7 linked regions of the Danio rerio genome follow. The protein of the gene in region 1 binds, or shares a complex with, the protein of each later gene. Links are inferred from orthologs where the notes say so. Each region holds a gene or a part of one and is shown in the gene's direction. Other genes may lie near its edges. The genes, in order: taf5, taf4a, taf6, taf12, tada3l, taf8 and taf11.

Region 1 (3,500 bases):
TCAACAATCCTTCATTGGAACCAAATACATGACAATTTGATCTCCATTATTAAAACTTAAGTGATTTAATTCAACAACATAGGAGAAACTACTAAAATATATATATTTTTCTGTTTAATGTTTTACAATAATCTTAGTAGACACTTTTTTCATTTATATACTTCTCTGACATTCTGTATATAGTTTTTTTCTCTCATATTATTTACAGGTTTCTGTATGCATATATGTATATATTTATATATATATATATATATGTGTGTGTTTGTTTGTGTACATATATAATTTGTAATTTTTTATTTCTGTTTCATATTGTTATCAAGCATGCTATACACATTGAACCAAGTCAATGTTGAGAAATTCTTTTTATTACCATTGTTGGTAACCATGTTTATTAAAAACACAATAAAGTTTAAGTCAAAAAAAAGAAAGAAAGAAAGCAATGGTTCTTGAGGTCAATTAATTAATAAAGAATTAACAATAAAAGAAAACGCTGTAAGATTTGCTGCAAATATAGCAAAAACCCTAAAAATAATAATAATAAATTTTTTTTTTTTGCAGGGACTAAATAATATTTCGCAATATTAGTTTTTAATAGTTTTTAATTATCGTTTTTGCTAAATCTAATAAAGGAATGAGAGTTTTTATGGTGTAAAAGTTTGAAAGATTATATTGTAAGTGAAAATGTGTCTAATGTAAAGCAATAAAAATGCAGACTGAGGTCACGTTTACGCTGTCAGGCCTTGATGCCCAATTCCGATTTGTTGCCTATATCTAATTTTTTGGCCTGTCCGTTTACACGTTCTTTTAATTGTGACTCATATCTGATTCATGTGTTTACACTTGCCGTGCAATTTACGCGCATCCATAAAGGCGGGTTCTAGCATCTGCGTCACACTAGCCACCATGGTAGAAAGTCTTACTTTTAGCTCTGTGAAATATGTGAAGTTCGCCCAACTTTAAAACAATTTTGAGGCGGAAGAGGAGGGGAAAGGGCCGTAATCGCAGCTTGCGCCTGTGGTTTATATATGGTGTCCTCCATTCATTATTTCTATAGGACCTTTTAATCTTTTCTTGAACTGACTCATCTCCCCACAGGGCAAGAATGCAGGTAACTTCTGCCTTCGACCACTGACCACTTTCCTCCTTAATGTTTCCTCATGTCGGCATCTCCACGCATGTTCTTCCTTTCTATGTCATTAAACCGCTGAGAAGTACCACAGTGTCGCAAGTTTAATGACCTATGCATACAAAACGAAATGCCTCAATAAATTCGATCTGCCTGTTTAAATGATAGTCGCATATCCGATTTATATCCGATTTATTTCCACATATGAAGGAAGCCTGAAAGTGATCTCTGAATATCCCAATGCATGTGTTTTTTCATTTTTACATAGTCATAGAACAGATCTGATCTGTCACATATGAGCTAAACATTTGAATTGTCACATTTACCTGGCAGTGTAGACAGTGTCTATGTATCAAAAGATGAGCATAAATCAAAAATGAGAACATGTTTAAAATCAATCTCAAATCTGAATTCTTAAAGTGTTTTCTCTCAAAAACATTAAAAAACTCTGCCAATTTTTGAGTATGTTGCTAAAAAGCGATGCTTAGATTTCTTTTGAAAGTGCATTTGTAGCTTCATAACCTCTGTCTGACAGGATCCCTCTGCCAGAGCTGAAGGACTCGGATAAACTGGACAAAATCATGTACATGAAGGAGAGCACCAAAAGAATCCGCCTCGGCCCGGAAACCCTGCCCTCCATCTGCTTCTACACATTCCTCAACGCCTACCAGGTTGGCGTTATTTTTGTTAATGGTTCCGTTTGGTGTTGTTTGGCATTGCCTGTGCTGATTGTGTGTCATCGCTCAGGGCTTGACAGCAGTAGATTTCACCGATGACTCAAGTCTGATAGCGGGGGGCTTTGCAGACTCTACAGTCCGCGTGTGGAGCGTCACACCCAAAAAACTACGCAAAGTCAAATCTGCTGCAGGTACGTGTCTCTGTTAAAGCTTTAAGTGCCACTGTTTTCCCCAGATACTATCTTGTTATCCTTTGTGTACTGTTTAAATTGATCAACAGTAAAAATGTCAAATTTGACCTCTTCCAAACAGATAAAACCAACATCAGTTTAAGATTGCATGATGTATTTGGTGATTATTTGGTTATAATGAAAGTCAATGGGGCAAAAACAGCCACCAACATAACGAAAGGGTAGTAAATTTGCCCAGAGTTTCTGAAAAATTTCAAAGCATTTTCCCCAAATTAGAAACATGTTGCATTTGCTGACACACAGATAAAGTTGTTGCCAAATAAAGACTCAAAATCACCTCAGAGTGGATGAAAGCATCCCCGACAGCATACAAGGGTCAAGTAGTTTAGAAATATTCTGTAGCTGTTTGGAAATATTAAAGTTCTGCAGAGATTCAAAGATCAAATGGAGTTATTGTCTACCAAAGAAATAAATCAGAACTCTTATGTTGAGGTTTATAATTAGTTTGCACAATGCCAGTCTGTGGTCTTCATTAGCTGACCATAAACTAAATCTACATTTGACCCTCAAACACTGTAGTTTTATCTGAGATCTGTTCCCTTGTGCTGGCAACTTAAGGCCCTGTTTACACTTGTGTGTTTTAGTTTTAAAACGGCGTTTTAGATCAAAAACAATCCGCGTCCACACTAGCGTTTCTGAACAATATATGTGTGTGTGTGTGTGTGTGTGTGTGTGTGTGTGTGTGTGTGTGTGTGTGTGTGTGTGTGTGTGTGTGTGTGTGTGTGTGTGTGTGTGTGTGTGTGTGTGTGTGTGTGTGTGTGTGTGTGTGTGTGTGTGTGTGTGTGTGTGTGTGTGTGTGTGTGTGTGTGTGTGTGTGTGTGTGTGTGTGTGTGTGTGTGTGTGTGTGTGTGTATATATAATGTATATAAAATCTAATGTATGATGTCTTGTTTCACTTCAGTGCCAACCATTCTTTTTTTTTTTTTTTTTAGACCTGAATTTGATTGATAAAGAGTCAGATGATGTTCTAGAGAGGATCATGGATGAGAAGACGTCCAGCGAGTCTAAGATCCTCCATGGTCACAGTGGGCCAGTGTATGGGGTCAGCTTCAGCCCAGACAGGTATCAAGAAAATTAGAGGAACAATTCATGGTTAAATAAGTTAGACAGAACTTAAATCAGAACAGAGTTTGCCACCCCTAAAAATATTCTTGCATGATTTATTATCTTTTTTTTCAGCTGCTGTACACTACCTGACAAAAGTCTTGTTGTCTATCCAAGTTTAAGGAACAACAAATAATAACTTGACTTCTAGTTTATCATTTGGTGTCAGAAGTAGCTTATATGAAAGGAAAAGGCCCCTAGATTACGCTTATTTTACCAAAATAAGATGTGATCATACCTTGATTTTTAATTATGTAATTAGGACAGTAAGGTCTGACTTCACCTAAACAAAAGTCTTGGCACTTAAAAGAAATAATGTACAGTATAGAATATAAAGTCATG
Region 2 (3,951 bases), on another chromosome or scaffold:
GTAAAGTACACTGGTATAGATGTTAAGTGTTAAAGTTCTCATCCTTAATTGAAATGATTAGAAATAGTGAAAACAACCAGAAAAACACGACTAATATTTAGTGATGCTTGTTTAACGATGTCGTCTCACAGCAAGAAGGTCACTGGTTCGAGCCTCAGCTGGGTCAGTTGGGATTTCTGTGTGGGATTTGCATGCTTTCCCCATGTTAACGTTGGTATCCTCCAGGTGCTCTGGTTTTCCCTCACAAGTCCAAAGACATGTGGTATAGGTGAATTGGGTTAGCTAAATTGTCAGTAGGGTATAAGTGTGAATGAGAGAGAGTATGAATGTTTCCCAGTGATGGGTTTACAGCTGGAGGGGCATCCGCTGCGTGAAACATGCTGGATAAGTAGGTTTATTCCGCTGTGGCAACCACAGATAAATAAAGTTTTTTATATAAGTTTCATTAATTGCTATTTTAACAAAATGTTATCAAATTATAAAAAAAAAACACCTATAAAAATAAGGGAGGACTTTTGAGAGCAAATGTGTCAGCTCACATTATGTTAGAAAAAAATTAGGTACTATTGGTTCAAGAAAGAGCTTTCTATTGGTTCTTTCTGTCACTTCGTTGACTATTTAATCAGCCATATTTTATTTATAACGTGCTTGCAAAATACAGACTTTTTATCCCGATGCAACGCTGTGCACATTGACAGAAAAAGTGTAGCATAAGTTAAAGTGAAGATTGAGCGTGTGACCAGAAACCCTGTGAACTATGGCTGCAGTAGCACGCGTGCCCTCTATGGCCAGTCACGCTGGCAGAGGTGTGGCGCCTTTTCACGCTTTCAACACAGACGCTTCAAAACACGGGGCCATCTTGGGGGAAGACAGCCCGCTGTGAAGTTCACACAACAGCCTCTACATGCTTTATAACCCGCACATAACAGCTATAAGTGCCTCTAGACACAACCGAGAGCAGCGCCCGTATAATTCAACGGTTGTTTTTCAACTTCACAAGGCCCTTTTCTCGATGACAGACCGACTCTGACCGCGCTCCGCCAGAATCAACTGACGTTTCTCATGTCCCGCCTCCACGCACGGAGACCACCAATGGCGGCTCCACAAAACTTCAGCGTAATGACGTTTCCGCTTTTGCGCGCATGCGCAATGTCATTTTATCCAAAGCTCCTCACTGTTCACATCGAAGATGGCGGCAGGCTTTGACCTGCTATATAAGGATTTCTGTATTAAAAGAGTGGGAAAGAAACTTTTTACCGACACTTCAGGTTGTATTAGATTAGACGTTTCCACATCTTGCCATAATAAGTTTGAGGTAAGCGCCCAGGCAGCCGGAAAATCACCCCGCTGACTCCGGGAAAAGAGGCAATTCAACTAGCTAATGTTGACATTTTGCGAGCTCTTGTACATATGAACATAATGAAAGCAGTCGCTCTTCAAGTGTGTTAGATGATTATTTCTCCCAAGAGCATTGTTACTAATGGACTTGAGGTGACACGGGCGCTTGTCAAATCCTTATTGACATTGTGACACGAGACTCCCATTCACTCACGCTTGTTTCCTTCGAAAAGCAACTGGAGGGAAAAGCCGATGAAAACCCAAACTTCCTGAACTGATGTGCCAGAGGCACAGATGGAAGACAGCTAAGGCGATCCGGTCTTTCTTAATGCTATGGTAACTACTTTGATCGGGACGTCCACAGTGCAAACTTTGAACGGAGGCAATGCAATGGATCCGCACACTGAAAGCGGCACTCCAGTGTCCAGTGGTCCATCATCATCATCGTCAGACGACGCTTCAACTTCTGTCCCGGTTGTTAATAACGGGCCCGGGGTGGCGAAAGGACTCGGAAACGTCACGGTCGCCCCAAGCCCAAACACAGTGATACAGTCTTCTTTCGGGACTCCTCCAGCCGCAGCATCCAGTGCAGGACCCTTAGTGACAGTTGTCAGGCCATCTATGCAAACTGCTGGAGCAGGTTTAACTATTAACGGAAGTAATAATAATACCACCATTTCTGTAGCCAATGTAGCGACCCCGGGAATAACTACTACTTCAACTACTACTACTAGTTCTACTACTACAACGACCCCTCTTTTGTTGAACCAGACTTCTGCACCTGTCACCGCGAGCAAGTCCGAGTCTCCTAAAACTATCATCCAGCCCGCAGGCAGCATGACTGTCGGCCCTGCAGTGGCCAAGGGGGCTGTTTTGCAGGGGGTTGCGAGAACCGCAGCTCCGGCAACTGTTGCAGCAGCATCAGCATCATCTAGCCCGACCATCAGGGCCAGCGCGCCACAGGTGTTAGCGCCCCGACTCCCTCAGAGCAGCCCGGGCCAGAACATCCAGAATATCCAGCTACCTCCAGGTACCCCACGCTCACATTAGCACTTTCCCTGAATGTTGTCTGGAATGACATGATATGTGTATAGAGAAACTTACGAGGAGTGTTTTGGTTTCGTGTGAAGTTTGCTCTCTCCTGAAATACTTGCAAACTGAAAAAAATAAGTGCATAAAACAAAAGTATATCTTCATTAGAGTGTAATTAAAAGTTAGTTTATCTAAAACACACTCCGAACATGCCTAACTCGCTTTCTTCAATAGGAGCTGTCAGACATATTGACAGCTTCAGTCTCCATACATTCTTTGTGACTTTTCTTTCTATTAAGAGAGAAGTAAGTCCTGCAGACTTCCAACAACATGATTATTAGTAATATTTGGGTGAACTGTGTCTTTATAAGTCGATTGAAAGCAAATTGATGTTAAAGTCCTCTCCATGCTTTTTAGTCAAAAACTAACTATATTTTAATTTAAATTATTAATATTTACTCTGTGGCATATTTTTTAATTTGCTCTAATATATATCAATAATTCATAAAATAAGCTACTCTTCATTCATGTACATTTGTATCAATTCATGTACAAAGTCATCTGAGGTCACATCTCAGATTATACAAATTTGAGGGTCAGAGTTCACCAAAGTTCTTTCTTAAATGTGATTCCAGTCTTCAGCATTCATATACAATAATAGATGTAAATCTAACAAGAAGTGTAGTCTGACCATCCATTTGGGTAATTTTAGTCAGCACTGTTCAGTCTTCAGCCTTGTTCTTTTACTTTCTTACAAGTGCCTTGTCTGCACTCACGCTTATGTGTAGGTAATTACTTCACAACCACAAAAAAAGTATATACAGCTCTGGTATTTCACATATATAAGCAATTCCATGCAAATGTCAACCTTGCCATGAAAGAAATAAAGTTTTCACTTAAATAGAGAAACCGTTTTTACACTTTTTTTCAGTGTAAGCAAGTATTTAATAGTAATACTCAAACATGTCTCTGTCAGTGTTTCAAACTATTTTATTTGCTTTACTAAAGTCACACAATTGGCAATTTCACATTTGTCACATCCATAATTGAAAAGTGTCACATACATAACAAAGCCTTTTACTCATAAATGCAAAAATGTCAAATAAAATTAATCATTTTTGTTCTGTAGTGGGCCAACTCTTATTCTTTTGATTAGCATTATTTCTTTTGGGTTGTGCAGTTTAATTCACAGAATTTTTACAAAGTGTGCTGTGTACTGTAAACCTTTTTGGTCACATCCATAATGCATGTTTATTTTCCCATTTAAAATATAGAATATGTTTACAGATTGATATTTTTCTTATCCCATAACTAGGCATGGGCCGGTATAAGTATGACGATATAAAAAAAAAAAAACCTGGATAAAAATTTCACAGTTTCATGTTTTTTTTAAATGTCTTTGTGAAAAACAACAACTTTTTTCCCCATTAAGCACAATATATTTTATTTGACTTCTGCTGGTTTAATAGTTTTTTTTTTTTAAAAAACACAGATTTCTTTACAACTTGAAAAGGCATTTTTGGAGGGTCATTTTCTGCTAAAGATACTATTGCTCTAAGAAATTATAAAAAAATGTGTAAA
Region 3 (3,105 bases), on another chromosome or scaffold:
ATCATACACATCAAACCTAAATTCTCTCCGTCTTGTATTTAGCCACGTCCGACTTTGACAATGTCTCAGAGTGGATTGTCAACATCAGGTGTTTCACGTACACCCAGCATAATTAAAGTACCCAGTTCACTTACCCTCATGTCTACTCGACCTGGAACACCCACTCAGCCATCACCCCCAGCAACAAAGTATATTGTTATGGCAACAAGTGCAGGGGCTGCATCCACACAGCAGGTAAGAGTTTTAAAGTAATTTGTGTTATATGTAATATAACAAAATTTTATTTCACAAAGATTGTTTTCCCACATACAAAAGAAAACCTTTAATTGTACTATTTTTATTTAAAATAAAAATAGTTTTACTTTTTTAAAGAACTTGGGAATAAAACAAAGAAACCTATTTTATATTTAGAAACTGCCTTAATGCATAGTAAAAATCTATGGTTTACCATGGCATAAGTCAAGTTCCCAGTTTTTTGTTTCCAACAATGTAGTTGTAAGAAAAAACATTAGCTGTCTTTAACTTATTTCCATTCAACAACTAGTTTTTACCAATAAAATGGTGCGCATAATGACATCACCACTGAAGAAAGGTAATTATAACATAAGTTGTGGTGTATTGCTACAGAAATTTGACCTTGAGCCTTTCCATAATTCTAATTTAGTTTAAATCACAAATTACTCTTAACCCCTGCCCCACCTGCTTTTCAAAAATCCTATTAAACCAAATCATGGAGGGAGATGATAGCATAGTTTTGTGGGTCTATCGTAATTCATTGGTGCATGTTGTGTCACTGAATTTATATAGACCCATGGTGCACACTATGCACTGCACATTATGAAACCTTGCGACAAGGTAATAAAGCAGAAACCAGTGCTTAAATGTACAATCCAGTTTTTTTTTTTTTTTTTTTTTTTTTTTTTTATGAGGTTCAAATACTGCATTTTTTACATTTAAGCACTAGTTTGTGCTAGATTAGTTTGTCAGAAGGTTTCATATATGTTTCATACATTCATAAATGCACTCACTTTTATTAATTCAGTCATTAATCTGGGGTCACCACTGCAGAATGAACCGCCAACTTATTTAACATATGTTTTACGCAGCAGATGCCCTTCCAGCCGCAGCCTATCTCTGGGAAACACTCGCTGTTAATGCACCAAAAATGTCTCACGACTATAGCACTGTAGTATTGAATTCCTTGAATTCCAAGATCCAAGATGGCACTGTGATCAGACACAGCAGCTGCTCTTGGTCCTAAAGACTGCTTTTATGTATTTTAATGTCATCTGTACATCTTGAAACATTGACAAATTGCCATAAACTCATAAGGAATTTGACAAAGAAATACATATTGCCAAAGCCTTTTGGCTTCACACTGTGAACAGTGGGGTCTGACAAACCACCTGTCGAAATTCTCTCCAAATGCATCGGACACTTTACTTAAACTACATCTATGCTCCAACACTTTATCTATGCAGCCACATAAGACTTTTTATTTCTGCTAATGGAACATTTTATTTCTACTAGTTTAACTGCTGGCCGATAGTTTCTGCAGAAAACGAGTAAATTCTGTTGTAATTGTTGACATAAGCTCTTCTTCTAGGTAATCACTCTCAGCTCCTCTCAGTCTGGATCCCCTGTCACAAGTACAGTCCCCAGCACACCAACAAGTCTACAGCCACTCGTCAAACTGGAGTCTGGAAATCCAGGTGCTGTGGGCAGCTCACGCCCAATCCAGAAATATATTGTGGTGTCTTTGCCTTCATCCTCTTCATCAATGGATAATAAGGGCTCAGGTGTCCTTTCCTCTTCTACCTCACCTATCAGCATGGAGTCTGCAGTCAAGCTGGAATGTTCAGAATCACCAGCCACAAGCACACAATTGCCACATTGACACTCTCACTCTTGCTTACGCCATCAGGGTATAGATCAACAATAAATGTAACTTGATGCTTATCAAAGTGCTTTAAAACAAACATACACACAGATACACAAATACATGTCACAGACACACAATACAGTTGTGGCTGCAAGCACATCGAGGCTGTAACAATGACATCTATACATACAAACATGTTAAGGAACCTTTATTGTGATTTGAGATGAAAGCACAAGACTTGGTTCTGCCTTTGAGCTCCTAGCTTTAGCTGTAGTTTAGCTGTATTTCATGTACATGAGGATATATATGCAGATAACAGGAGAAAGAATGATAAATGTGGATTCTCTGGGTAGGAATTAATGGGTCCACCATTAATACAATGTTTTTTATAGTTGGGCATTTGTTGGGTTTAACAATTTAATTGATTTACAGTTTCAAGTTTATTATTATCTTCTATAATAAAGTTGGTTTTTAAGGTGTGATTTACATTTCTTAATTTGTAATACTTAATGTTATAATGTTTTTTGTAGAAATCAGTGTTTTTTTTTTGTTTTCATGTCAAACGTTTTGTTATATCAGTTCAATTTCTTTTCTCAAGATAAAACTTAAGATATTAAGTATAATAGTACACTGAAGGTATTAGCAATTATTAAGTAATCCATTCTTAAATACAGTTTTGTATAATTGTGAGGAAAAATGTCAATAAAAAGGCATGGAACAACATTCATTCATTCATTTTCTTGTCTGCTTAGTCCCTTTATTAATCCGGGGTCGCGACAGTGGAATGAACCGCCAACTTATCCATCAAGTTTTTACACAGGGGATGCTCTTTCAGCCGCAACCCATCTCTGGGAAACATCCTCACACATAATCACACACAAACTCATACACTATGGACAATTTAGCCTACCCAATTCACCTGTACCGCATGTCTTTGGACTGTGGGGGAAACCGGAGCACCCGATGGAAACCCACGCGAATGCAGGGAGAACATGCAAACTCCAAACAGAAACACCAACTGACCCCAGACTCGAACCAGCGACCATCTGGCTATGAGGCAACAGCACTACCTACTGCGCCACTGCAGTCTGGGTAACAAATGTGGATTCACTAAACCTCAAACATACCTTATACTGTAGTGCTTAAGGTTTCCATTGGGGATCTTTTTGGACATGAAGGTCTCGTGTGAACTATGTTTTTTTTTTTTTTTTTTTTAACAAATG
Region 4 (4,176 bases), on another chromosome or scaffold:
TAAAATCTTAAAATCATATGTCACAAATATAAATGTACATTCTATTTAAATAAGTGCATATAGATAATATTTGAATTATATTGTTGTAGGAAAGCTGTATGGAGATGCTGAATACGTGGACGAAAGGCATCGACACCGCTTTGAGGTTTGCAATAAAGATCTACTCTAAAATACCGTAAATGTTTTGTTTTCTATTTATTCATGTTAGTAATCTTTGCATTTTTTTCCAGGTGAATCCAGAACTGAAGCACCACTTCGAGGATAGAGGTTTTCGATTTGTGGGTCAGGACCTAGAGGGGGAGCGGATGGAGATCATTGAACTTGAAGGTCAGTGATCGTCTAGTATTTGAAAAAGCGGTCAGTCAGTGCTCATTTCAACTGATTTCTTCTGTCCAAACAGATCACACGTATTTTGTTGGAGTGCAGTACCATCCAGAATTCACTTCTCGCCCGATCAAACCCTCACCACCGTATTTCGGCCTTCTGCTGGCAGCGTCTGGGAAACTGCAAAACTACCTCCAGAAAGGATGCAGGCTCTCACCTCGGTTTGTTGCTTCTTAAACTCATATCATCCTAAATTAATTTAAAGTGGAGACATGCAGTATACTGTGTAAGTTGTCTTATTATCTTGTTTTCCTTTTCTCTCTCAGAGACGCATACAGTGACCGAAGCGGCACTAGTTCACCAGACTCGGAAATCTCTGAATTCAAATTCCCATCGCTTTCTTAAAAAGGAAAAACCCACCTAATCATAAAAACACATGAATGACGTTTTATGATATGAATGTATGAATTTAAATAAATGGATAACAATGCTAATGTGTTGGTTTTAAAATGTGAACAAGTGTGTTGTGTACAGTGGTATAGAAGTGATAATTTATAGTTATTCATTGTACATTTTCATTTAATTTAATTTATTTAATTAATTAAAATTTTAGAAATAATGTGTTTTAATAATTTTAATTTGTATATTAAAGTAATTTTTTATTATACAGAACTAGCTGAAATATTATATATTAAAAGTTTTATGAAATATTTAACATTTATTGTATTTCGAGTATCATAACTAGTATTACTTGGATGGTTTTATCAGGAGTTGACATTAATAACAATGAGCTGTGTTTAAAATGGCTCACTGAACTTGTCTATGCAAATACATATGTAAATTGATTGTTTTTACAAACTAGGGGATTTTTATATATAGAGAGAGAGCACTCTACCACTTATAACTATTACTTTACCAAATAAAATAACAATTTGGAAGAGATCATTTTCCAGAAGGCTTCATCAACTTCTCTGTGCTTTTATTTTGTAAGACTTTTGAGATCTCGCGATACTTCGGTTGAGCTCCGTTCGTCAGAAGAGGCGCTTGTAGAAGGAAAAACAACTTGGAAGGGCTTGTGCATATTTCCAGACCTTAAACGTCGAAGATGGAAAGATAATACAGAATTATTTGCATCAGGTACTGCAACGATTAACAATTAAACGGAATTACATCAAACAAAAGGAAAGCATCGCGAGACGTGTATTGGCACGAATGTTTTTCTCGCTAATGTTAGCTGCTAATATGTTAAGCTACAGTGTGATGATTAAAAACAACAACTATGAAGAAATTCAGACTAAAAACCATACTTATTTGGTAATTTGCATTATATCACATTAATATCAGCATAACACTTACATTATCAATTAGTTTAAGTGAATTATGTCATAACACACTGGCGAAGCAAAAAGGCTAACGCTAGCATATACAGCAAATGACAGTTCGGTGATGTTTATTTCTATCGAGCTAAAAGTTCTTCACTTCGTTGATATAACTTACTTAAAACAGCCGTTTAATATCCTTAATGTATTTATGCATTGATTAAACTCAGTTGAACTCTTAATATCTTTTTTCTGCAGCTGATTTAAAACTCCCACTAGTTCTGAAGAGGCTTGTGACATTTGACATCTCTTGATTAGCATAGTATGACCCAGTATCCAGCACAGACCAGTCGCTCGAATTTCTACACGGTTGTGAAAGCAGAAGCCTCTTCAACACCGCCGCTGTCCAGCAGCATGGCCAACAGCACGGTCGCTCCGGGGAAACTGCCCGGCACCCCCGGACCAGCAGGCAGACTGAGCCCAGAAGGACCTCAGGTGGGTCAGACTGTACAGCTATTATAAGACTGAGGTAACGTTGGTTTTATTTTCGGATATTTGTTCAGTAAGACGGTCCCTATATTGTTTACTACGAATATTCAGTCTGTACTTGCATCAAAGTATGACTACAAAAGAATATTAGCACTATTTAATTGACTGTGAACAATGTTGTACTTTGATAGTCATTGGCTACTAATAAGATTTCTACTATTAGAATTTGCAAAGAATACTTTTCTGAAATTATATTATTGAGAAAGTTTGAATGTGCGAACCAACTTTTACTTTCACACGAACATGCATAAAAACATTCCTTCCTCTAAATGATCATTTATTTCATTTCTGCGGAAACCTAGAGAAGAAAGCAAATACACAGTCGAAGCTCTTCTTTAAAACTTATATTATATTATATTATATTATATTATATATGTAAAAAGAACCTAGATTAAAAAATGAAACAAAACAGTATCTAATTTAAATCTTAACATTTAACTACATTAATATAGTTTAAAATTAATAACAATTTAAATTGAATATAAATTTAATTTTTAAATATAACATTTTTCCCCATTATTAATGTAAAATCATATTGGCTTATTTAACCTTGTCTCAAAGCAAAATAAAAAGTAGCAACTATAATAAACTGTGTAACGTTAAATAAAATGTTTTTAAAAACTATTTGTTTGACTATTTTTGTCAAAACATTTTTGCTTCATTCAATCTATCATGATTTGCACTTCTACTCTTCCGTAGCTTTGGATGTAGCAGTATACCTATCATGATTGAAAATTTTGTGTTGATGATTACTAATCAAGCAAATAATTTTAAAAATATTTAGATTTTTAACAGTTTAGAATAATTTTATTTATTTATATACATATATACTTTTTATTTTGCTTTGAAACATGATTAAATATAGGCCAGTATGGCTTTAAAACTATGGAAAATAATATAAAAATTAGAATTAAATTTAAATTCCATTTTAATTATATTTATATTTAAATTATATTAATGTGTGGTAAATGTTAAGATTCAAATTGTATTTTTTTAGTTAAAATTTTGAGTCTTGGTCCGTTTTATATTAAAATAAAAAATCATATAAAACCAAGCAATCATAATGTTATATGATATTATAATATAACAATATATGTGGGAAAGAAGATCTTTGGTTCTCTGTTAGTTTGGTCTTCACAGAAATAAAACAAGCTGTCATTTACAGGTAAAATGTATATTAAGCATGTTAATTTGTTTATGCACTTAATTTCCCTCATTTAAAAAAAAAAAACCTGTTTTCAACACCTGAAAGTAGATCAAATAACAAAGATCAGACAAATAATCAATATTTGCGATAGACCTATATGTGAAAATAGACTTTTTTAAGCCAATTTAAAAATATATTGACATTTATGTATTTTTATTGTCCTCCCTACAGGTGCTCAGTAAGAAGAAGCTGCAGGACCTTGTTCGAGAAATTGACCCTAATGAGCAACTTGATGAGGATGTGGAAGAAGTACGTGTGTCTTATTATTGATGATGTTCAAAAGTGTTCTCACACATTCATTGTTGACTAGTCAGTTTGTTGCCCAAATTACCATTTTAAACACACTTGAATAATAAATAGTTGAGTTTGTGAGAAACAAATGGGATTTTAATTGCAATGATATATAAAACACTTAGGGAAATAATCAGTTGATGTACAGTTGCAATCAGAATTATTATCCCCCCTGTTGAATTTTGTTTTTCTTTTTTAAATATTTCTCAAATTATGTTTAACAGAGCAAGGACATTTACACAGTATGTCTGATAATATTATTTTCTTTTGGAGAAAGTCTTATTTGTTTTATTTCGGCAAGAGTAAAAGTAGTTTTAATTTTTAAACACCATTTTAAGGTCAAAATTATTAGCCCCTTTAAGCTATATATTTATAGTATACAGAACAACCCATCATTATAGAACAACCTGCCTAATTACTCTAACCTGCCTAGTTAACTTAAATAATCTAGTTAGGCCTTTAAATGTCACTAAGCTCTATAGAAGT
Region 5 (3,500 bases), on another chromosome or scaffold:
TTTCAATGGTATTACATGACCCATAGAGTAACCCTGTTTAAATCTGTTTCTTTTTCTTGTATTATACTGCCGTGTCTAGATGTAGATGCCCTCCTGAAGAAATCTGAGTCTCAGCATGAGTCTCCAGAGGACGGATGCCCCTTCGGTCCGCTCACTCAGCGACTTCTACAAGCTCTTGTTGAGGTCTGCGACTCCTCATTTGCAAATTATATAGTGCAATACTTTCAGCTTTTTGACTGCTTGGTTTATATCAGTGTTTCAGTCATATTCTTTTGTGATGTAGGAGAACATCATATCTCCTATGGAGGATTCCCCCATTCCAGACATTCCAGGGAAGGATGATGGAGCTGGTACGTCACCTCGTAGCCAGGGGAAAGCCTTCAGGTAAAAACAAGTCTTGTCACTTGATTTTCATAATTTTTGTTTTAGAATTTAGTCAACATAAAGTTGACTTTCATAAGATTTATATTAGCTTGTCTATTTTGTTTATTTGAAAAAGTTACTGCTGTTACTGTAAGGCTGCATTAATTAATGGAAAATACAGTACGATTTTTATTATCTTCTTAATATTACACAATCTTTACTTAATACTAAACTATTGTTATGGTAAAATGTGATCCTTGAATAGCATCAGTGCTACAGGATATTTTTGGTTGTTATGTCTTGCGCTGAGTGTCTTGCCACAAGCTTTCAACACCTCCAGAAACCGTCTCTCTAAAAATTTCATTATATTTTTAACAATTTTTTGAAAAGAAGAACACATCTCATGCAAACACAAATGCAGTAGAATATAGGATACATCATAAATATATATATTTATGGCTATATAGAGCCAATTAAGACTGATCAGTCAATTAGTTGTTCAGGTAAGCTTCCAATTAATTGATTTAAATAGTAAATATAGTTATTAAAGAAGTAATAAATAAAATCAGGTGTCATTTTTATTTTTACTTTAACATCTTAGTATTTAGTAGCACTAATGGTGGCTACTAGTCAACGGCTACACAAAGTAAACATATATAACATAGCAAATATTTAGCTGACTTTGCAATATAGAAAGTCTCATTAGTTTAGATCAATTAGTAATCTTTTATTTCTCCGTCTTCGAATTCTGCTGAATTGAGCATTTTGTGTGTTCAGTGTACCTCACACACGCTCTCTGGAGGCTCGTATAAGAGAAGAGCTGGTGTCTCAGGGGCTGCTGGACTCTGATGAGAGGCAAGGGGTCGGAGGAGAGTCTGAAGATGAGGTGCTGGCCGAACTGCAGAAAAGACAAGCTGAACTTAAAGCACTGACCGCACACAACCGCTCACGCAAACTGGAGCTGCTCAAGTGAGTCTTGCTGAAACACATCAGATCAACATCAAGACTGTTATTGGCATGAGATATCTGGTAATCCGGCTCATGGTTTAAGTAAACTTTAAAATCTGCATGAAATGCAAATTAATTGCACTGAGAAATAAAGTAGCCGTATTTCCATGCGAAGATGCAAATTAAATGCATGCAGAAAACTGGAATATCACATAAAAGACATGCGAATAAAGCAGCGTTTCCATCCAACGAGTCAAAGACAACAAAATTGTCACATCCTGATTAAGTTTCGCCAAATATCAACAGTAAAAATTGAATTTGTTTTTGTTTTACAGTGTGCTCAGCCAGCTGGTTTGTTCATTTACACACGTTTTCATCATCACATAATCTCTTATAACAAAATCGCATGACTTTTAATGCGCACAATAGAATTTATTTGGTAGCGTTTCCATCGCAGTTTATGCTAATTTTTTCCTGAATAAAATGTCCTACTCAGTTATTCGCATGTCTTATGCTCATTTTAAAATATTTTGAGCCTAAAAATAGGTGGTTAGAAACATAGCTACAGTGGGTATAAAAAGAATAATCCCCCTTCTAAATAATTAGATTTTGTTGCATTGTAGCCTGAAATTAAGACAGACACAGTTTTTTTTTATCTAGGTGAAATTATTCAGTGCAATGTGTAACATCTATGTAAAAGATATAACACCAACATGTCAGAAAACAATTAACAAGCATAAAAACAAAATCACTCAGTTGTGAAAAGGATCACCTCCTCCTAAAAATTTCTGGTAAACTCAATCAGGTGTAGCTAATCACCTTCTTAACGACACACAATGCCATTTCACTTTCATTGGTGGTCAATTTGATTAGCTCAGCATGAAAATAGCTTTATTGTAGCATTTTAACCCTAGGTAGTGCAACTGAAGCAAACCATCAATTATGGGTGGCAAGACATTGTCAAAAGATTCCTGGGATAAAGTTGTGGCCAGGCTTAAGTCAGGGGATGGATACAAAAAAAATTCAAATGCTTTATCAATGCCTAGAAGCACAGTGAAGTCCATTTTTTTTTTAAAAGTGGCTGGTATTTGGTACAACACAGACCCTTCCTGGATCAGGATGTCGCTCCAAATTGAATGAAAGAGCCAGGAGGAAAATGGTTAGAAAGGCAACCAAGAGGCCTACAACAACTCTGAACAGTTGCAGGAATTTATGTCAAAGAGTGGTCATTGTGTGCATGTGACAACAATATAAACAATTCTCCACAAATGTGGCTTGTATGGAAGGGTTGCACGAAAAAAGCCTCTTCTCAAGAAAAGCAACATACAGACACGACTGAGCTTTGCCAAAACGCAACTAGAAGATTCTGTGGCCATGTGGGAAAAAAAATATGGTCAGATGACACTTAATTTGAACTATTTGGCCTCAACACCAAACGATATGTCTGGCGGAACTCCAATACAGCTCATCATCTAAATAACACCGTCCCTATCGTAAAACATGGAGGTGGAAATATCTTGTTTTGGGGCTGTTTCTCTGCAGCAGGAACTGGAGCACTTGTCAGGATAGAAGGAAAAATGGATGGGGCAAAATACCGACAAATTCTTGAGGAAAATCTGCTGCCCTCTGCCAGAAAGTTATCATTTGGAAGAAGGTTTACCTTCCAACATGACAACAACCCAAAGCACACAGAAAAACTGACCACACACACAGTGGTTAAAGGAGAAAAAGGTGAATGTCCTGGCATGGCCAAGTCAGAGTCCAAACTTAAACCCCATTGAAAATCTTTGGAAGGACTTGAAGACTGCAGTCCACAACAGACACCATCACATTTTAACTGAACTTGAACAGTTCTGCAAAGAGGAGTGGGCTAATATTTCAAAGTCAAAGTTAGCAGAAACGTATTCCAACAGATTAAAGGCTGTAATTAAAGCACAAGGTTATTCAACCAAATACTGAATCAAGGGGTGATTCTTTTTCCAACCCATTGATTTAGTTTTTTATATGTTGATTTTTTTTCAGACATGTTGGTGTTATATCTTTTGGTTGGGTGTTATAAGTTGCACTAAGTAAACACAGGTAGATTAAACAAAAACTCTGTCTGTCTTCATTTCAGGCTACAATGCAACAAAATGTAATTATTTTGAAGGGGGGTGATTCTTTTCTATACCCACTGTACTGTTTGTTTT
Region 6 (4,094 bases), on another chromosome or scaffold:
AATCAATAAATATAAATTTACTACAGAAATATTGTCATTTGAGATTGCTTCACAATGATACATTTTGATTGGCAAATCTGACCTTTAACACATTAAGCTAAACCTTCTGCCCCATATGCAGAATGCAGATCTACCGGATATACTAAGACACAATAAAGGAGACCAATTTTGCTTCATAATAAATAGGCGTAATGCATTTCTGTGTCCACAGAATGTGCAGCTACAGCTCAAATTAAGCTACAGATCATTTATTTTTTTATGTCATGCTGCAAAAAAAAAAATGACCCAAAAAATGTGCATCTCTTTAAATGCAAATGAGCTATTTCCAGAAGAAAGTGGGTCCTTTACAGTCTTTCTCAGATATTCTCAAGACAAGACATTGTTTTGGTTTTATCATGTCTACTGCACTTATGTGACATTTTAGTTCATCATCATGATGAAAGTTTATTATCCTCATCCGTTTTAAAGCCTTGTTGGTCTGTCTCGCTTTGTCCACTCATTTCAAAGCATTTGTGGTATCAGCCTTTGCTAAGCAACCATCATCTGTGCTCTCCATGGAAAATTTTTATTTATTTATAATTTTTTAACATGAAAAGATTAAAAGATAATTGGGCCTGACTCAGCATGAATGCTGTTTTTCAGCAGATTCCTGCTCCGCAGAACATAAAAACACACAGACACCCATTAACATGTCAAATTATATGAAAAATACATAAAATAATATAATAATTTGGTAGCATTAAGGTCTGAGGTGTTTGTGTCTACTCCCACGATTCAAATATTATAATAAAACTAGGATTAAAACTGATTTACCTAGCTTTTGTACCTCGTTTTCAGGTCAGAACTTAAAAATTAAATCTTCTGTGTCAGTTTACCGTTTTACTAAAGAATCATGTAGAAAGCAAGGATGTGAACATTTTGTTATCTAAAAGACTTGACATTTCTGTAAGATGTTCGACATTTAACTATTAACATTAACAGCTAGTTCGTGTGTGATGGTTCTTTTATTCAAATCATTAAAATAAAAATAAAGATAACATATTTAGAAGTCTTTAGAATAACTTAATAAAAGTTTTATGAGCATGCTACAATACCGTATTGACGATGACTTCAAAAAATGCAAATTTCTACTTTTGCTTTCATTTTTAGGAAATGGCTATGCAACAGTTATTTCTTTGTTTGACTTTTATTTTGGAATTGCACAGAAAACAACAACCTTCCGGTCGCCCTGTTGGAAATGTTGATAGGGTTGCCATTTTCGCCCAATATAAAAACACCAAATACAGTTTTTAGCAAACGCAGAACGCACAATGAGTTTATTTGCGAATGCTAAACATCAGAGGAAAAACCACTAGAGTTCTAAAATGGCAGACTCGGTAATGATGGGGAGCGGATCTTTAAACTCCGGAAGCGTACGTTAAATATCTCCTTTCATTAACGCTAACGTTACTCTTTCCTTCACCCTGCTGGCTCAGCCAAACAATACTAACTTTAGTTTTTTGATCAAAATTAGACTTAAAGGCACTTGTGTAATATATTTTAAAGCAGACACCGTATCGTATGTAAACACGTCTGTATATATATATATATATATATATATATATATATATATATATATATATATATATATATATATATATATATATATATCAATTATATAGTGAGCTGTTGCAGATCAGTGTCGTCAAACAGTGTTTTATATAACTGGTAAACGTCTTGTTAAAGCCGAAAATCACAAACTTTACTGTACTGCAACTGTACAAACTCAATTTTCTCCCAGCAGGAGTTTTCTATGAAACAATGCTAATGTCACTCATAATGACAAGTTATTGTGCATGGAGAATTGGGTTAGCATAATATATTAACAGTAAACTAGATTATTGACAGGAATGGGCAGTTTTACATACCATAATTTAATACCACACTCTTAATGCAATCCACAGTGGAATAGTAATCTTAACCAGATTCTCAGATGCAAAAATGAATGCAATAGATGCATTTTTGCCTCAGTAATTATAAGCACAGCCTTACAAAATCCCTAACTTTTTGTTAAGGATCCATCCATAAAAAATAAAAAAACATTAACAAAGATTGAGGTAAAGGTGGCTTTATATTCACACATTCAGACTTTGTCCTTAATAATATAAGTTCAGAAACATGTTGTTTGCAAATTCTAAATAGGGAAATCCTATTAGCAGCAGTGATAATGTTGTTTTGAAGTCATTACCTAGCTAAAATTTTACCCAATACTGTTATGTTATCGTTGGCCATGGAATTAATTTAAACAGGATTGGTAAAATACGATGTCTTCTATTTGCTGGACAAATGGTAGATTTAGTAGGTAAAGCTTTTAATCTGATTCAGTTTGACTCAATTGAGTTGAATCAAGTAATTCAGATCTTCAAGATTTGGTTCCTTTAAATGACCTAATAAATCCCTGACCAATGTTTTAATATAGGTTGATCCCTTACACTTAATAATCAAAGTAGCATGGAAAACAATATAGCGACTCACAAGTTGTCACTTTATGAATGTGCCATATAAAACCAACTTAACTAAGCAGAAATTAACTTAAAATCACATACGATTCCACAATGTGAGTTATAGTAATTTCCAGTAAAGTAAATCTACCTCAAAACGTTTTGATTTTCATAAAAACTTAATTACATGACTAACTTTTCCATTATTTTTTCAAAGTTTTATATTCATGAGTCATAACTAGGGCCAGACGGAATCTGCAGATGTTTTTTGCTATTTCTGCTGAGATTTTTGGTAAAAATCTGCGGATTTCTGCAGAATTATTTTGGGAGTATCCAGCGGAGTATCAAAACTAAAACCTTAATATATGAAACAAAAAGTAATAAATTACTGAATAAAAACTGAATAAATTTAGATTTACACATTTACTCAAGTAAATAAACAGAATTAATGATGGGCTAAAAATCTGCAGAAATTCTGCGGAAAATCTGCGCGCGCAGATTTCGTGTGGGCCTAGTCATTACCACTAAATACAATTCCTCTTTCTTCAACACTAATCTTAGAATAAACTTTGAAACCTTTTAAAAACTCAGAAGCTTACAGTATAGGAACCATACTAATTGTAAAACATTTCAAATAAATGCAGTTCATTTAGCCCTAACTTAATCTCTTTTATTGCATTTTCAAAGAAATGCCTTGCTGTATTAAATGCAGATATGTTTTAAAACTTCCTGATCTGTAAAACCTTCTTATCATCTTTTATTTTATTATTTCCAGCGCTCGGGGAGCAGTAAGACCTGCACCAGTCCCACAGAGAACTATCAGCTGGCTCGGAGACGCACGCTGCAAGTGGTGGTCAGTGCTCTGCTGACCGAGTGTGGCTTTGATAGCGCTGAGAAAGCTGTTGTGGAGACACTCACTGAGATGATGCAGAGCTGTGAGTCCTTCATTTACTTTAAGCAGCTCATCTTGACAAAATTTAAAAGCTTATGCATACCAATATCACAAATCATCGCGTTTTACTTTTTACGTTTGTGTGTATTTGTATGTAATTTATGGTTCTATGTTCTAATTTAACCACAGTTTGGGAACCAAAATTGAGCTATAGTTGAATAAAAGCTCACAAAACAATACAATTACTTTACACTTTTCTGTACATTAGAATGTGTCTATTTAAAAATATATTAATCTGAGCAAATAAATTATCACTGAAATGTCAATAAGACTAATATTGTATACACTAAAAAAGTTTTTTTTTTTTGTCAGGCATACAGTATTTAGAAAAGTGTAGCTCCCAAAAATTTTAATTATTGTCATTTTAAATCTTTTTACTTGTTCACTATTTATTTAGATTACTAGTTTACTTATTTGTCTGCTAAGTTATAGTTTATTAATAGGTCATAAATGGATAAATACATGTTTTTGTGTGTCTAGTATGACCATTTATTCTTAAATATATTTTAATAAGTAGAGCTCATGTTTGCTCCGGTTTCCCCCCACAGTCCAACGACATGTGCTGTAGGTGAATTGGGTACTTTTTGATTTTTAAGAGTCTTGTTGTCTTTTGATAGATATAACAGAAGTTGGACGTTGCGCAAAGGCAAACTGTGAGCACA
Region 7 (3,998 bases), on another chromosome or scaffold:
TTTTTAATAAAAATAACCCTGGGTATAATTACTGTTTACACAATATTGTATACATTATATCAGTTCCCCTATAGCGCATGTGTTTGGACTGTGGGGGAAACCGGAGCACCCGGAGGAAACCCACACCAACACGGGGAGAACATGCAAACTCCACACAGAAACACCAACTGACCCAGCCGAGACTCAAACCAGAGACCTTTTTGCTGTGAGGCCACAGTTCGTATGAATTATGCGTATTATTATTGTTATTAATAGTGGCTTGAAAATTAGGTTTCAAGTAGTCAAAATCATTTTAATCAATTTTAAAATAAAAGAAACAATTTGACTTATGTAACCTGACCATGCTAAAATAATCAGTGCAAATATCTATTATTTGCATTGTATATATTAAATTATATTTATTATTAAAATGAAACAAATAAGTAATTAATATTTGATTAAAATAAATAAATAAATGGGCAATATATTCAAACAAACAAATCAGTGAAAAATAAAAAAATACATTTACTCAAGTTAATAAAATAAAAAAGTAAACAAATACTCCTTATGGACATTTTAGGTACATATCGTTTAGTTGAAATGGGATAATTTGAAATAACATCATTAATTAGCCTATTATTATTATTATTATTTAAATATAAGCATAAAATTTTAACTATATGCAAGGGGTACATTTAAATAATTAAATGTGATTTAATCATTTGTGAATATCTATCAAATAAATATATAATTATGAATAATTAAAGGGTTTCTGCAATTAAACTAAAAGCTCGAGTGAATTTTGATGGATTAAATCAGTTATTAGTCCCTGTTTGTTTGTTTGTTTGTTTGTTTGTTTGTTTGTTTGTTTGTTTGTTTGTTTGTTTGTTTGTTTGTTTGTAACTGTAAGCACAGTGTTTATGTTTCAACTATTTATAATGTTTAAAGTGGCTGACAATAATAAATATTCGTATTAATAGGAATTAATCTGCCTTGTTTTTGAACTGTGCAGAGCTGCTTCATTGGGCCTACTACACTTCTGCATTTCAGTACTGCTCCTTATGGTGGTTCTTGAAGAGACATTTTTTCTGAGGTGGTCCTTGATGAAAGAAATCTGAGAACCGCTGCTTTAATGTATAGTATTGTGCGCCACCAAGTGTTTGACGTGGCTGTGCACGCTTGTGCGGACTCTTATTTTGTAGTTTAACCGGATATGCTCGTGTTTACTTTGTCGGTCTGAGGCGCTCGTCAGAGAACACTCGTTGGATTTTTGTGTTTTTAAACATTATTTTCAACGCGGTTGTCGGTCTTAGGTATGTTTTGATTTTTTTTATGAATTCACGGTTTTATTTTGTCTAACAAGTGTTAAATCCGGCCCCAAATACACATAGCATCGTAAGTTACGATGATCGTTAAGTTACCGTTTTCACCTAAAGTAAACTATCATTACATTGAAGATGACCGAGTGTAACGTTAATACAGCTAATGCACATTAGATAGAGCCCTGTTTAATCGCGTTGTTTACGATCAATAACAATGATATATGGGGACTTAATGGATATTTAGAGGTAAAGTAGGTTTTATATCCGCACACTGGTGCATTTAGCAGTCTCTATATTGTTTAGCATGTTACTCTGAATATTGGATCTGAATTAGCATGCAAGTATGACTTGTAAACAACATTAACACTGTCTAATTGACTGTGAACAATGCTGTACTTTGATAGTCATTTGCTGCTAATATCATTTCCCTATTTACAATACTTTTCTGACATTATATTGAGGAGAATGTCTGAATATCAGAATATACAACCAACTTCACCTCTATATGTTTTATAGAAGACACAGACTAAATTATAAACTGTAATGACAGTATTGACATTGTAAGCAACAGTTCACCCTAAAATTACAATTCTGTCATCATTTACTCTTGCTTTACTTGTTTTAAACCTTTATGAGTTTCTTTCTTCTGTTGAACACAAAAGAAGATGTTTTGAAGAATGCTAGAAGCCGGTAACCGCTGACTTCTGTAGGGTTTGTTTTTCCTATTATAAGTCAATGGTTGCCTGTTTACACATTTTTTCCCCTTAAATGTTCCTTAAATCTTTTTCTTAATTTTGTAAACCAACAACAAATTGCTCTCTCTTTTCAAAGATTGTATATTATATAATTAAATATTAAAATCAAATAAATAATCATTTGATTAGAATAATTAATTAAATACATGTGCATTAAAATTATATATGTATATATATATATATATATATATATATATATATATATATATATATAAACATTTTTTAAAAATTGTAATGAATGGTTGCTCTCTTTTTTTGTAATATGACAATTTGTTCTACATAATTGCTTTTTGTAATCTTTGTAATTTTTTTTTACATTCAATAGTATTCATCCAGAGTAATTCTTACAAAAAAAAAAAAATATATATATATATATATATATATATATATATATTGCAATCATGAAACACAAGCAAGGCTTCTTGAGATATTTTAGATATTTGGACTAGAAACAGACACTCTGAGTTAGAACAGTGTTATTGCAGTGCTCAGTTGTAATTGGATCAGGGACTCCCGCTCATGTGTTGCAGATAAACACACTACAGCAGTGTCCATTATTTCCACATTCCCTTTCCCTGATCCATCAGCTGAAATCATGGCAGACCCGGCCCGTGTGAAACCTGAAGCGGGCACATCGGTGGACAGACCCAAACCGGGCGAGGGGTCCAGTGAGGGTCCGGAGGGCAGCAGTAAGAGCTCTGACCCTGCTGCGGGACAGACTGCTGTAAAAGAGGAGGGCAAGACGCTCAGTCAGGTCTCTGCCTCTTCATTCTGCATCCTCAATGAATTCAGTTTCATTCTCATGCAAATAAATCAACCATGCATCACTGTGTTCCTCAGAGGCCTGCTGAAGATGCTGGTGATGAAGAGGAGGAGGGATCTTCATCTCTGCATCCTCCTCCTGCCAAAAAGCTGAAAGTGGAGCCGCACGACAAGAAGAAGGAGAAACGCCACAAAGTGGATGAAGACGAAATCCAGAAGATGCAGTGAGCTGTGTGTGTGTGTGTGTGTGTGTGTGTGTGTTGTGTGTGTGTGTGTGTAGCTGTAAACTGATAATAACACTAATAGACGTGTTTGTGTTTCAGAGTTTTAGTATCATCGTTCTCTGAAGAGCAGCTGAACCGCTATGAGATGTACAGGCGCTCGGCGTTCCCTAAGGCAGCTATTAAAAGAGTGAGTCTTTAAATTAAAAACAGGTCTTAAAAAGAATTCAGAGTTGATCAATCTGTTTAGAGAAAGTATTAAAGTCTTTTACAGCTGGTAAATATTGTGTCTGTTTGGATTATTCAGTGTGTGGCTGTCTGCCTAAGTTTAATTTGTGAATATTGGGCAACATGGTGTTGCAGTGGGTAGCATAATCGCCTCACAGTAAGAAGGTCACTGGTTTGAGTCTTAGCTGGGTCAGTTGGTGTTTCTGTGTGGAGTTTGCATGTTCTCCCCGTGTTGGCGTGGGTTTCCTCCAGGTGCTCCAGTCCAAACACATGCGCTATAGGGGAACTGATTGTAGTGTATGCGTGTGTGTGTGTGTGAATGAGTGTGTATGGATGTTTCCCAGTGATGGGTTGCTGAATACATATGCTGAAAAAGTTGGCGGTTCATTCCGCTGTGGCGAGCCCTGATTAATAAAGGGACAAAGCTGAAAAGAAAATGGCAGCATTGTTATTCCTGCAAGAAGGTCTCTGGTTTGAGTCTCGGCTGGTTCAGTTGGGGCTTCTGTGTGGAGTTTGCATGTTCTCCCGGCATTCGTGTGGGTTTTCTTCAGGTGCTCCGGTTTCCCCCACAGTCCAAACACACGCGCTATAGGGGAATTGGGTGGGCTAAATTGTATGTAATGTGAATGAGTGTGTAAGAGTGTTTCCCAGATATGGGTTGCAGCTGGAAGGGCATCCGCTGCGTAAAACATATGCTGGATAAGTTGTCGGTTCATTCCACTGTGGCGACC

Evidence for each region.
Region 2: taf5 (region 1) and taf4a share a complex: the UniProt entries of both Homo sapiens proteins name them as parts of the TFIID basal transcription factor complex. The link is inferred for Danio rerio from reciprocal best matches to the Homo sapiens genes TAF5 and TAF4.
Region 3: taf5 (region 1) and taf6 share a complex: the UniProt entries of both Homo sapiens proteins name them as parts of the TFIID basal transcription factor complex. The link is inferred for Danio rerio from reciprocal best matches to the Homo sapiens genes TAF5 and TAF6.
Region 4: taf5 (region 1) and taf12 share a complex: the UniProt entries of both Homo sapiens proteins name them as parts of the TFIID basal transcription factor complex. The link is inferred for Danio rerio from reciprocal best matches to the Homo sapiens genes TAF5 and TAF12.
Region 5: taf5 (region 1) and tada3l share a complex: the UniProt entries of both Homo sapiens proteins name them as parts of the TFTC-HAT complex. The link is inferred for Danio rerio from reciprocal best matches to the Homo sapiens genes TAF5 and TADA3.
Region 6: taf5 (region 1) and taf8 share a complex: the UniProt entries of both Homo sapiens proteins name them as parts of the TFIID basal transcription factor complex. The link is inferred for Danio rerio from reciprocal best matches to the Homo sapiens genes TAF5 and TAF8.
Region 7: taf5 (region 1) and taf11 share a complex: the UniProt entries of both Homo sapiens proteins name them as parts of the TFIID basal transcription factor complex. The link is inferred for Danio rerio from reciprocal best matches to the Homo sapiens genes TAF5 and TAF11.

The regions. Positions count from the first base shown.
Region 1 is NC_133176.1:52,734,687-52,738,186, forward strand, and holds part of taf5 (transcription initiation factor TFIID subunit 5), read left to right. Parts: intron 1-1,661; coding exon 1,662-1,797; intron 1,798-1,873; coding exon 1,874-1,994; intron 1,995-2,986; coding exon 2,987-3,116; intron 3,117-3,500. UniProt on the Homo sapiens protein: The TFIID basal transcription factor complex plays a major role in the initiation of RNA polymerase II (Pol II)-dependent transcription.
Region 2 is NC_133186.1:23,089,786-23,093,736, reverse strand, and holds the start of taf4a (transcription initiation factor TFIID subunit 4), read left to right. Parts: upstream 1-1,151; 5' UTR 1,152-1,671; coding exon 1,672-2,368; intron 2,369-3,951. UniProt on the Homo sapiens protein: The TFIID basal transcription factor complex plays a major role in the initiation of RNA polymerase II (Pol II)-dependent transcription.
Region 3 is NC_133180.1:59,077,300-59,080,404, forward strand, and holds the end of taf6 (transcription initiation factor TFIID subunit 6), read left to right. Parts: intron 1-42; coding exon 43-234; intron 235-1,606; coding exon 1,607-1,897; 3' UTR 1,898-2,605; downstream 2,606-3,105. UniProt on the Homo sapiens protein: The TFIID basal transcription factor complex plays a major role in the initiation of RNA polymerase II (Pol II)-dependent transcription.
Region 4 is NC_133191.1:38,670,043-38,674,218, reverse strand, and holds the start of taf12 (transcription initiation factor TFIID subunit 12), read left to right. Parts: upstream 1-1,376; 5' UTR 1,377-1,461; intron 1,462-1,901; 5' UTR 1,902-1,967; coding exon 1,968-2,138; intron 2,139-3,570; coding exon 3,571-3,648; intron 3,649-4,176. Other genes in the region: ctps1b (CTP synthase 1b), read left to right, coding at 90-145, 231-327, 401-545, 651-729. UniProt on the Homo sapiens protein: The TFIID basal transcription factor complex plays a major role in the initiation of RNA polymerase II (Pol II)-dependent transcription.
Region 5 is NC_133186.1:18,282,646-18,286,145, forward strand, and holds part of tada3l (transcriptional adapter 3), read left to right. Parts: intron 1-79; coding exon 80-183; intron 184-283; coding exon 284-384; intron 385-1,140; coding exon 1,141-1,332; intron 1,333-3,500. UniProt on the Homo sapiens protein: Functions as a component of the PCAF complex. The PCAF complex is capable of efficiently acetylating histones in a nucleosomal context. The PCAF complex could be considered as the human version of the yeast SAGA complex.
Region 6 is NC_133198.1:35,334,925-35,339,018, forward strand, and holds the start of taf8 (transcription initiation factor TFIID subunit 8), read left to right. Parts: upstream 1-1,294; 5' UTR 1,295-1,364; coding exon 1,365-1,412; intron 1,413-3,255; coding exon 3,256-3,415; intron 3,416-4,049; coding exon 4,050-4,094. UniProt on the Homo sapiens protein: The TFIID basal transcription factor complex plays a major role in the initiation of RNA polymerase II (Pol II)-dependent transcription.
Region 7 is NC_133198.1:380,037-384,034, forward strand, and holds the start of taf11 (transcription initiation factor TFIID subunit 11), read left to right. Parts: upstream 1-1,198; 5' UTR 1,199-1,547; intron 1,548-2,586; 5' UTR 2,587-2,651; coding exon 2,652-2,810; intron 2,811-2,896; coding exon 2,897-3,042; intron 3,043-3,141; coding exon 3,142-3,229; intron 3,230-3,998. UniProt on the Homo sapiens protein: The TFIID basal transcription factor complex plays a major role in the initiation of RNA polymerase II (Pol II)-dependent transcription.